Pelodiscus sinensis: one gene and its partner. The protein of the gene in region 2 purifies or fractionates together with the protein of the main gene of each other region. This does not show direct contact. Links are inferred from orthologs where the notes say so. Each region holds a gene or a part of one and is shown on either strand. Other genes may lie near its edges.

The links.
Region 1: the proteins of STK35 (region 2) and C23H1orf174 purify together in Homo sapiens (affinity purification with mass spectrometry; 3 studies listed by BioGRID and IntAct, counting the BioPlex papers as one, with this or other methods). This does not show direct contact. The link is inferred for Pelodiscus sinensis from reciprocal best matches to the Homo sapiens genes STK35 and C1orf174.

The regions. Positions count from the first base shown.
Region 1 is NC_134733.1:22,081,860-22,085,763, forward strand, and holds the start of C23H1orf174 (UPF0688 protein C1orf174 homolog), read right to left. Parts: upstream 2,452-3,904; 5' UTR 2,327-2,451; coding exon 2,312-2,326; intron 1,188-2,311; coding exon 1,074-1,187; intron 1-1,073.
Region 2 is NC_134728.1:3,047,285-3,051,188, reverse strand, and holds the start of STK35 (serine/threonine-protein kinase 35), read right to left. Parts: upstream 3,084-3,904; 5' UTR 2,644-3,083; coding exon 2,217-2,643; intron 1-2,216.

The DNA of each region.
Region 1 (3,904 bases), on a different chromosome or scaffold from region 2:
AACCATTTCCAAGGTTTTATGATGATAAAAACGTAGACAGTTCAACTGCAGTATAAACATAATATGCAAAAACCTGGTTTTTAGAGTGAAAAGAAAAAGGTGCCACTGCATTTTTTGCAGTTAGGTATTACTGCTTGCATGTTCAAAAAAAACTGCACACCTCTGCCATACCCTGAAGTAACTTGAGGAATTAAATGTAGCTATATCTGATCGGCAGTACCTCTAATTCCTGAGACATCCATATTAACAAGCAGATACATGAACAATCACAGTGATGAATGTTTAATATATCGACATATAGAATATTAATTTCTAATACAAGGCATGTCTGTTAAGCAAGTTTATGTCCATCTATCCTTGCTCTCGGCATAACTATGGCTACGTCTACACTGGCATGATTCTCTGGAAATGCTTTTAACAGAAAAGTTTTCCGTTAAAAGTATTTTCAGAGAAGCACGTCTAGATTGGACGCTTTTCCGCAAAGAAGCCCCGATCACCATTTTTGCGCTCGGGGCTTTTTTGTGGAAAACAAATCTTTGCTGTCTACACTGGCCCTTTTGCGCAAAAGTTTTTCGGAAAAAGACTTTTGCCCGAACGGGAGCGGCATAGTATTTCCGCAAAAGCACTGACAATCTTACATGAGATCGTCAGTGCTTTTCCGGAAAAAGTGGCCAGTCTAGACACAGCCTATGTGTACACTAAGTAACATTTAGTTGTAACCATGTCAGTCCCAGGATATTACCAAGACAAGGTGAGCGAGGTGATCACTTCTGCCGAATGGTCCCTTAACATTTAGCGGTAACATCTAGAACCTTTAACAGACCTGAAAGAAGAGCTCTGTGTGACTCAAAAGCTAGTCTCTCTCACTAACAGAAATTGGTCCAATTAAAAATATTACTTTGCCTCTGTAATAATATAATAAAAACATTTTGCTCAACATATTATTTTGATGGCCTTACTAAAAGTCAAAACATCCCCTAAATAATATTCCAAAGTTAACAGCTCATTGCAAAATGAATGTAAGTAATGTTCTTCAAACAACTCAGGCAGCAAAAGTCACATGTTTTTCCTACCAGACACACTGTTTTTGTAGATTTGCAAAGATCAACCTCTTGAGGAGATGAAAATTGGGTGGCTGCATGGTTTCCACCCTTCTGGCGTGCTGAAGTTGGCACTCCATCTGCAAGCTAAACCAAATGCAATTTTACAATCCAGAAGAGGAAGTGGGGGTTTTGTGACACCTTCAGCAGGAGAAGCATCTCTTCCAGCAACAAGAAATCTCAGAAAATATCATGGTAGGCATCCAAACGGCCATGACAGAGCTCTCCAGAACTGCAGGGTAGAACCCACTCTCCATGTATGTAAGGGGCAGCAGGAGGTTCAAACTCCTCACCACTGGACTGGGACTTGCAAATGGTTAAGACTTGCAGGACACACGGGTAGGAAGCCAGTCTCAGGCAGCGAAAAAGGCCACAGAACCCCACCAGTGCGCAAAGATCGCACCCTGGGGGACTCTGGGAAGGCTCTTGTTAGGGCAGTCTGTGGGGGCAAAGAGCACACCGGGCTCTGGGTGGGAGTGGAGAGGGCCCTCTTTGGGGGAGGCTGGGGCTCTGTGTGATGCAGAGGAGGAACTCTGTGTGGCATGGGGTGGGATACTGGTTAGGGGAGCTCTATGGAGGAAGGGGCACTGGGGGGAGGGCTGGGGTCCCGAGTGGCACAAAGGGGGGGAACCGGTTGGGGGAGCTCTGTTTGGGGCATTTGGGGGAGGGACTGGGGCTTCCTGTAACATGAGGAGGGTAGCTGGTTGGAAGAGCTCTGGGGGGGTCGCTTTGCAGAGGACTAGGGGTCTCTGTTGTGCAAAGGGGTAGCTGGCTGGGGGTATTGGGGATCTTGGGGAGGAGGCTGGCGCGCTGTGGGGTGCAGGGGTGATGCTGGTTGCAAGAGATCTGTGGGTGTGATTCGGGGGAGGCTGGTCGGGGGAGCTGTGTGGGCGCGGGGGGCAGCTGAGGCGGTGGCGCGGGGGGCTGGCTGGAGGCGCCCGGGTGGGTGGATCTTTGGGGTGGCGGGGGCTGTAGCTGTGGGGGGCGCGGGGGTAGCTGGGCGGGGGGAGGCGCAGGGGGCGCTCTGCAGGGGCGGCCGTTTGGAGGCGCTGCGGGGGGCGGGGTCTCCGCGCGCGCAGGGCTGGGGGAGGGGCTCCGTGCGGGGTAGACGGTTGGGGGAGCTGGGGGGGATTGTGAGGGTCCGTGTGGCGCTGGGGGGGGGGGGGGGAGCTCTGACCGGGCAGCCCCAAGGCAGCTCGGCCCTTCCTCACCTTTCGGGTCCTCATCGGACGCCGAGGAAGGGGCGGCTCTGGGCGAGCCCCGCTCCCGCTCCCGCTGCCTTCCCTGCCCCGGCCGCTGCTCGTCACCGCATTCCCCGCGCCCGCACCGCCCCTCACGCAGCGGCCGCCATTTTTGTGCGGGGCGCTCAGAACTTAAGGAGCGGGCGCCATCGTTGTGCGGGGCGCTCAGAACGTAAGGAGCGGGCCGGGGCCAGACACGCAGGGAGCGGGCGCCATCTTTGTGCGGGGCGCTCAGCACGTAAGGAGCGGGCCGAGGCCAGACATGCAGGGAGCGGGCGCCATCTTTGTGCGGGGCGCTCAGAACGTAAGGAGCGGGCCGAGGACCAGACACGCAGGGAGCGGGCGTCATCTTTGTGCGGGGCACGCACGAGGGGCGGGCCAACCGTCAGCGCCATCTTTGTGCGGGGCACCGCCCCGAGCACGTGGGGGCCGAGGGCTCTTAGCCCCAGGGTGGGTGCCGCTCGCAGGTGCTAAGGGGCCTGCAGTGTCGGGGTGGGACATTGGGGTGCAGAGAGGGGGATGTGGCAGGGTAACAGCCCTTAACCTTCAGGGTCCCTGGCAGGCTCCTGGTACCTGTGCCGGCTGCAAAGCTGCTCCCAGCGCCCACCGGCTCCCCGGGAGCCGCCCGCCCCAGCGCTGCTGCCTGAGCCGCTGGGCACGTTGACTGGGTTACGCGCATTTGCACATGGCTGGCCACAGACCGGTCACTAACAGTGGAAGCTGAGATGCAGGGAGCTAAGTGGGCAGCCTGTGGCCCATGGGGCTATAAGCAGCCCACCGGGCTCTGCGTGGCCCACAAAGCGTTTGGTTCACCGTGGCCCACGAGCAGAGTTGTCACATGCCACTGCTTTCTGTCCACCTATTTTTTTCATACAGCTGGCTACTAAAGTGCCACGCAGTAAAGAACGGGCACTGTGAAGGGAAGTGCGGGCTGACTGGACACACTTGACTGGAGAGCTGTGCTCCCTCTGCGTCCCATCACAGCGGTGCTACGGTTTAGTCAACACATGCTGCAAATTGAAGGTGTGCAAGCACAGTGAGCAAAAGTACCCTATCCTGGGAGACCGTCTTGGTTACCACAATCTTGTGGCCCACTGAGATGAAAGACGGCCACTCATGCAGCTCGCTCACTAGCCTAGGTAGACTATTGCTGCTTTATAGCCTTAGACAGCCATTGTCAACACACCACATGTCAAACTTTGCAAAGTAAATAGCCACAAATCACACTCCAACTAAGTTCTCAAGAAGCAATTTCCTTCCTTTCCCTAGCTGTACATTTTCATTATCGTTGGAAATTTTTTTCATCCTTTTCTATTATGGTGAAATCAATGTTTACTGAGGGATCAGTGTTCCCTGTAATCTGTGAGCTTGTGCGGCCACTCAGGAGAGAGTCAAGGGCTGCCCGCTGATTAGCAGAACATCCAGAGCTAAGTTTTTTGTTTCTAGTAGTGGTGCATGTTCGCACATGCCTCAGGGCACATACAATTTATTCTGCACATGGATGGAAAAGATTACAGGGAACATTGCTGATGCTTATCCATAAAAATCTTGTTTTCTCCAAGC
Region 2 (3,904 bases):
GGCGCAGGTAGAGTGGGATGTGGAGGTGCAAGGGTTGGGGGTTATGAGGGGGCAGCTGTGGCGGGGCATGTCTCAGGGCAGGGGATACCTTTCAGGGAGGTCTTCACCAGGTGCAGGTAGAGCTGGCTGGGGGGGATTAGAGGAGCTGGGGGGGTCTCCAGATGGTACATTTCAGGGAGGTCTCCACCAGGCGCAGGTAGAGCTGGCTGGAAGGGTTGGGGGGGCGGTCCTACAGCACGGGGGGGGGGGGGGCTGTGGGGCGGTCCCAGGTCAGGAGGGCTGTGGGGGGGTACCTTTCAGGGAGGTCTCCACCAGGAGCAGGTAGAGCTGTCTCGGGGGGGGTCAGGGAGTGCTGTGGGGGGGGTCCCGGGCACGGGAGGGGCTGTGGGGGGGGGGGTCCCAGGCGTGGGAGGGAGGCAGTATCTTTCAGGGAGGTCTCTACCAAGCACAGATAGAACTGGCTGGGGGGGTCCCAGACTGAGTGGGCTTTGGGGGGCTCCCAGGGCGCAGGGGGGAGGCGGTACCTTTCAGGGAGGTCTCCACCAGGCTCAGGTAGAACTGGCTGGGAGGGTTGGGGGGCTGTGGGAGGGGGTCCCAGGGCGCAGGGGGGGCCGTGTGGGGGTCCCAGGCAAGGGGGGGGGGAGAACACCTTTCAGGGAGGTCTCCACCAGGCACAGGCAGAGCTGGCTGGGGGGGTTAGGAGGGCTATGGGGGGGGTCCCAGGGTCGGGGGAGGGTGACTATGGGGGGGTCTCGGGGCCGGGGGGTTCCGGGGTGGGGGGCTATGGGGGCGGTCCGGGGGGGGCGGTACCTTTCAGGGAGGTCTCCACCAGGCGCAGGTAGAGCTGCCTTGGGGGGGGATAGGGGGATTATGGGGGGGTCCCAGGGCAGGGGGGCTGTGGAGGGGGTAACCTTTCAGCAAGGTACCTTTCAGCGAGGTCCCCACCAGGCGCAGGTAGAGCTGGCTAGGGAGATTATGGGGGGGTTAGGAGGGTTAGGGGGGCTCCCAGAGCCGGGGGGGGCTATGGAGGCGGTCCGGGGGGGCTCTGTGGGGTCCCAGGGGGGCAATACCTTTCAGCGAGGTCTCCACCAGGCGCAGGTAGAGCTGGCTGGGGGGGCTCTAGGGGGGGTCCCGGGGCTGGGGGGGGCTCTAGGGGGGCGGTACCTTTCAGCGAGGTCTCCACCAGGCGCAGGTAGAGCTGGCTGGGGGGGCTCTAGGGGGGGTCCCGAGTTGGGGGTTATGGGGGGGCTCTAGGGGGGTCCCGGGGCTGGGGGGGCTCTAGGGGGGCGGTACCTTTCAGCGAGGTCTCCACCAGGCGCAGGTAGAGCTGGCTGGGGGGGCTCTAGGGGGGGGTCCCGGGGCTGGGGGGGGGCTCTAGGGGGGCGGTACCTTTCAGCGAGGTCTCCACCAGGCGCAGGTAGAGCTGGCGGGGGGGCCTCTAGGGGGGGTCCCGGGGCTGGGGGGGCTCTAGGGGGGCCCGGGGGGCGGTACCTTTCAGCGAGGTCTCCACCAGGCGCAGGTAGAGTTGGCGGGGGGGGCTCTAGGGGGGGGTCCCGGGGCTGGGGGGGCTCTAGGGGGGGTCCCAGGCGGGGGGGCTCTAGGGGGACCCGGGGGGCGGTACCTTTCAGCGAGGTCTCCACCAGGCGCAGGTAGAGCTGGCGGGGGGGGCTCTAGGGGGGCTCGGGGGGGCGGTACCTTTCAGCGAGGTCTCCACCAGGCGCAGGTAGAGCTGGCTGGGGGGGCTCTAGGGGGGGTCCCGGGGCTGGGGGGGCTCTAGGGGGGCGGTACCTTTCAGCGAGGTCTCCACCAGGCGCAGGTAGAGCTGGCTGGGGGGGCTCTAGGGGGGGTCCCGGGGCTGGGGGGGCTCTAGGGGGGCGGTACCTTTCAGCGAGGTCTCCACCAGGCGCAGGTAGAGCTGGCGGGGGGGGCTCTAGGGGGGGTCCCGGGGCTGGGGGGGCTCTAGGGGGGCTCGGGGGGGCGGTACCTTTCAGCGAGGTCTCCACCAGGCGCAGGTAGAGCTGGCTGGGGGGGCTCTAGGGGGGGTCCCGGGGCTGGGGGGGCTCTAGGGGGGGTCCGGGGGGGCGGTACCTTTCAGCGAGGTCTCCACCAGGCGCAGGTAGAGTTGGCTGGGGGGGCTATGGAGGGGGTCCCGGGGCTGGGGGGCTCTAGGGGGGGTCCCAGGCGGGGGGGCTCTAGGGGGGTCCGGGGGGCGGTACCTTTCAGCGAGGTCTCCACCAGGCGCAGGTAGAGCTGGCTCTGCTTGTTGCCGTGGCTCATGCGCTGGCCCAGCCCGTCGCGCTGCAGGACGCACTCCTCGAAGCGCACCACGTTGGGGTGGCGGCGGCGCAGGCTGGTCAGGGCCCAGAACTCGGCCAGCGCCAGCTCCACGTTCTCGGGCGCGTCGCAGCGGATCCGCTTGACCGCCAGGCGCGCGCCGCTGCGGCCCGACACGGCCTCGTAGACCACCCCGTAGGAGCCGCGCCCGATCTCCGCCACCAGGCTGTAGCGCGGCGCCCCGGGCCCGCCGCCCGCCGCCATGGGGCCCCTCAGCGCCGGGCCCCGCTCCCGCTCGGGCCGCCGCCTCCGCTCCGCCGCGGGCCTTTGTGTCCCTCGGCGGCCGCCGTCCGCCGCGGCCGTTTCCATGGCTGCTGCGCCGCGGGGGGGCCTGGCTGCTGCCGCCCGCGAGCCCCACTCCTCATCCCTGCGCCCGGGGCGCGGGGAGCATCGGCCGCCTCCAGCAACCGGAGCCGGCTGCGAACGACACCGGCCCGACAGGCGAGGATGGAGACGGGGGGCGTGGGGCTGAGTCGGCGGACAGAAAAGCGCGCCCTGCCTGCCCCTTTAAGGCTTCAGCCAATCGCGGCGGCCGAGGCGAGGGAGGCCGAACCATTCAGGGGCGAGAGGGGGGACGAGAAGGGGGAGTCCAACCCAAAAGCCCCCCAAGACAAACAAGAGCCGTTGTTCCACGCACCGCTCGAAAAACCCCAATTAGGAACCCTAGTGAGGGGGGCTTGCTAGCCTTTCCGAGCGCTGCCGTTGGCTCAGCTGCCATCCCAGTGTCTGGCTTTCCCCCCGGTGCCCAATGGTTTCTCCCCTGGAGTGTAAACACTCCCTAGCTGGCCGCCGGGAGATGGGCGAGTCCATTATTTACCATGGGGAGGGGGGTGGAGGAATAACGCACTTACTTGTCCCCTGCCCCTGACAAGCCCCCGTGGCTGGGCCGGGGGCAGCTGCCGCCGCTCGGCTGGGGGAGGTGTCGCTGCTGCTACGGGGCCCGCCCCTGGGCGGCGCAGGGGGCTGAGGGGCCGCCGCTGCTGTGAGTCCCCCCCCCCGAGCGCGGTGCCGGGCTCCGGGCGCTGCGCGCGGACAATGCGGCTGAGCGGCGGGGGCTGCTGGAGCGGAGTCGGGGCGCAGTAGCCCCTTACGTAACCGCTTATGTAACCGCCGGGCCGGCCGAGGGGGAGGGGTGGGGTGGGCAGTGGGGGGGTGAGCGGGGAGGGGTGGGAGGGAGAGAGGGGTGGGCAGTGGAGGGGGTGAGGGGGGGGAGGGGTGGGCAGTGGGGGGTGAGCGGGGAGGGGTGGGAGGAGGAGAGGGGTGGGCAGTGGGGGGGGTGAGGGGGGGGAGGGGTGGGCAGTGGGGGGGTGAGCGGGGAGGGGTGGGAGGGGGAGAGGTGGGCAGTGGGGGGTGAGCGGGGAGGGGTGGGAGGGGGAGAGGGGTGGGCAGTGGGGGGGGTGAGGGGGGGGAGGGGTGGGCAGTGGGGGGTGAGCGGGGAGGGGTGGGAGGGGAGAGGGGTGGGCAGTGGGGGGGTGAGCGGGGAGGGGGTGAGGGAGAGGGGTGGGCAGTGGGGGGGGTGATCGGGGAGGGGTGGGAGGGGGGGAGGGGTGGGCAGTGGGGGGGTGAGTGG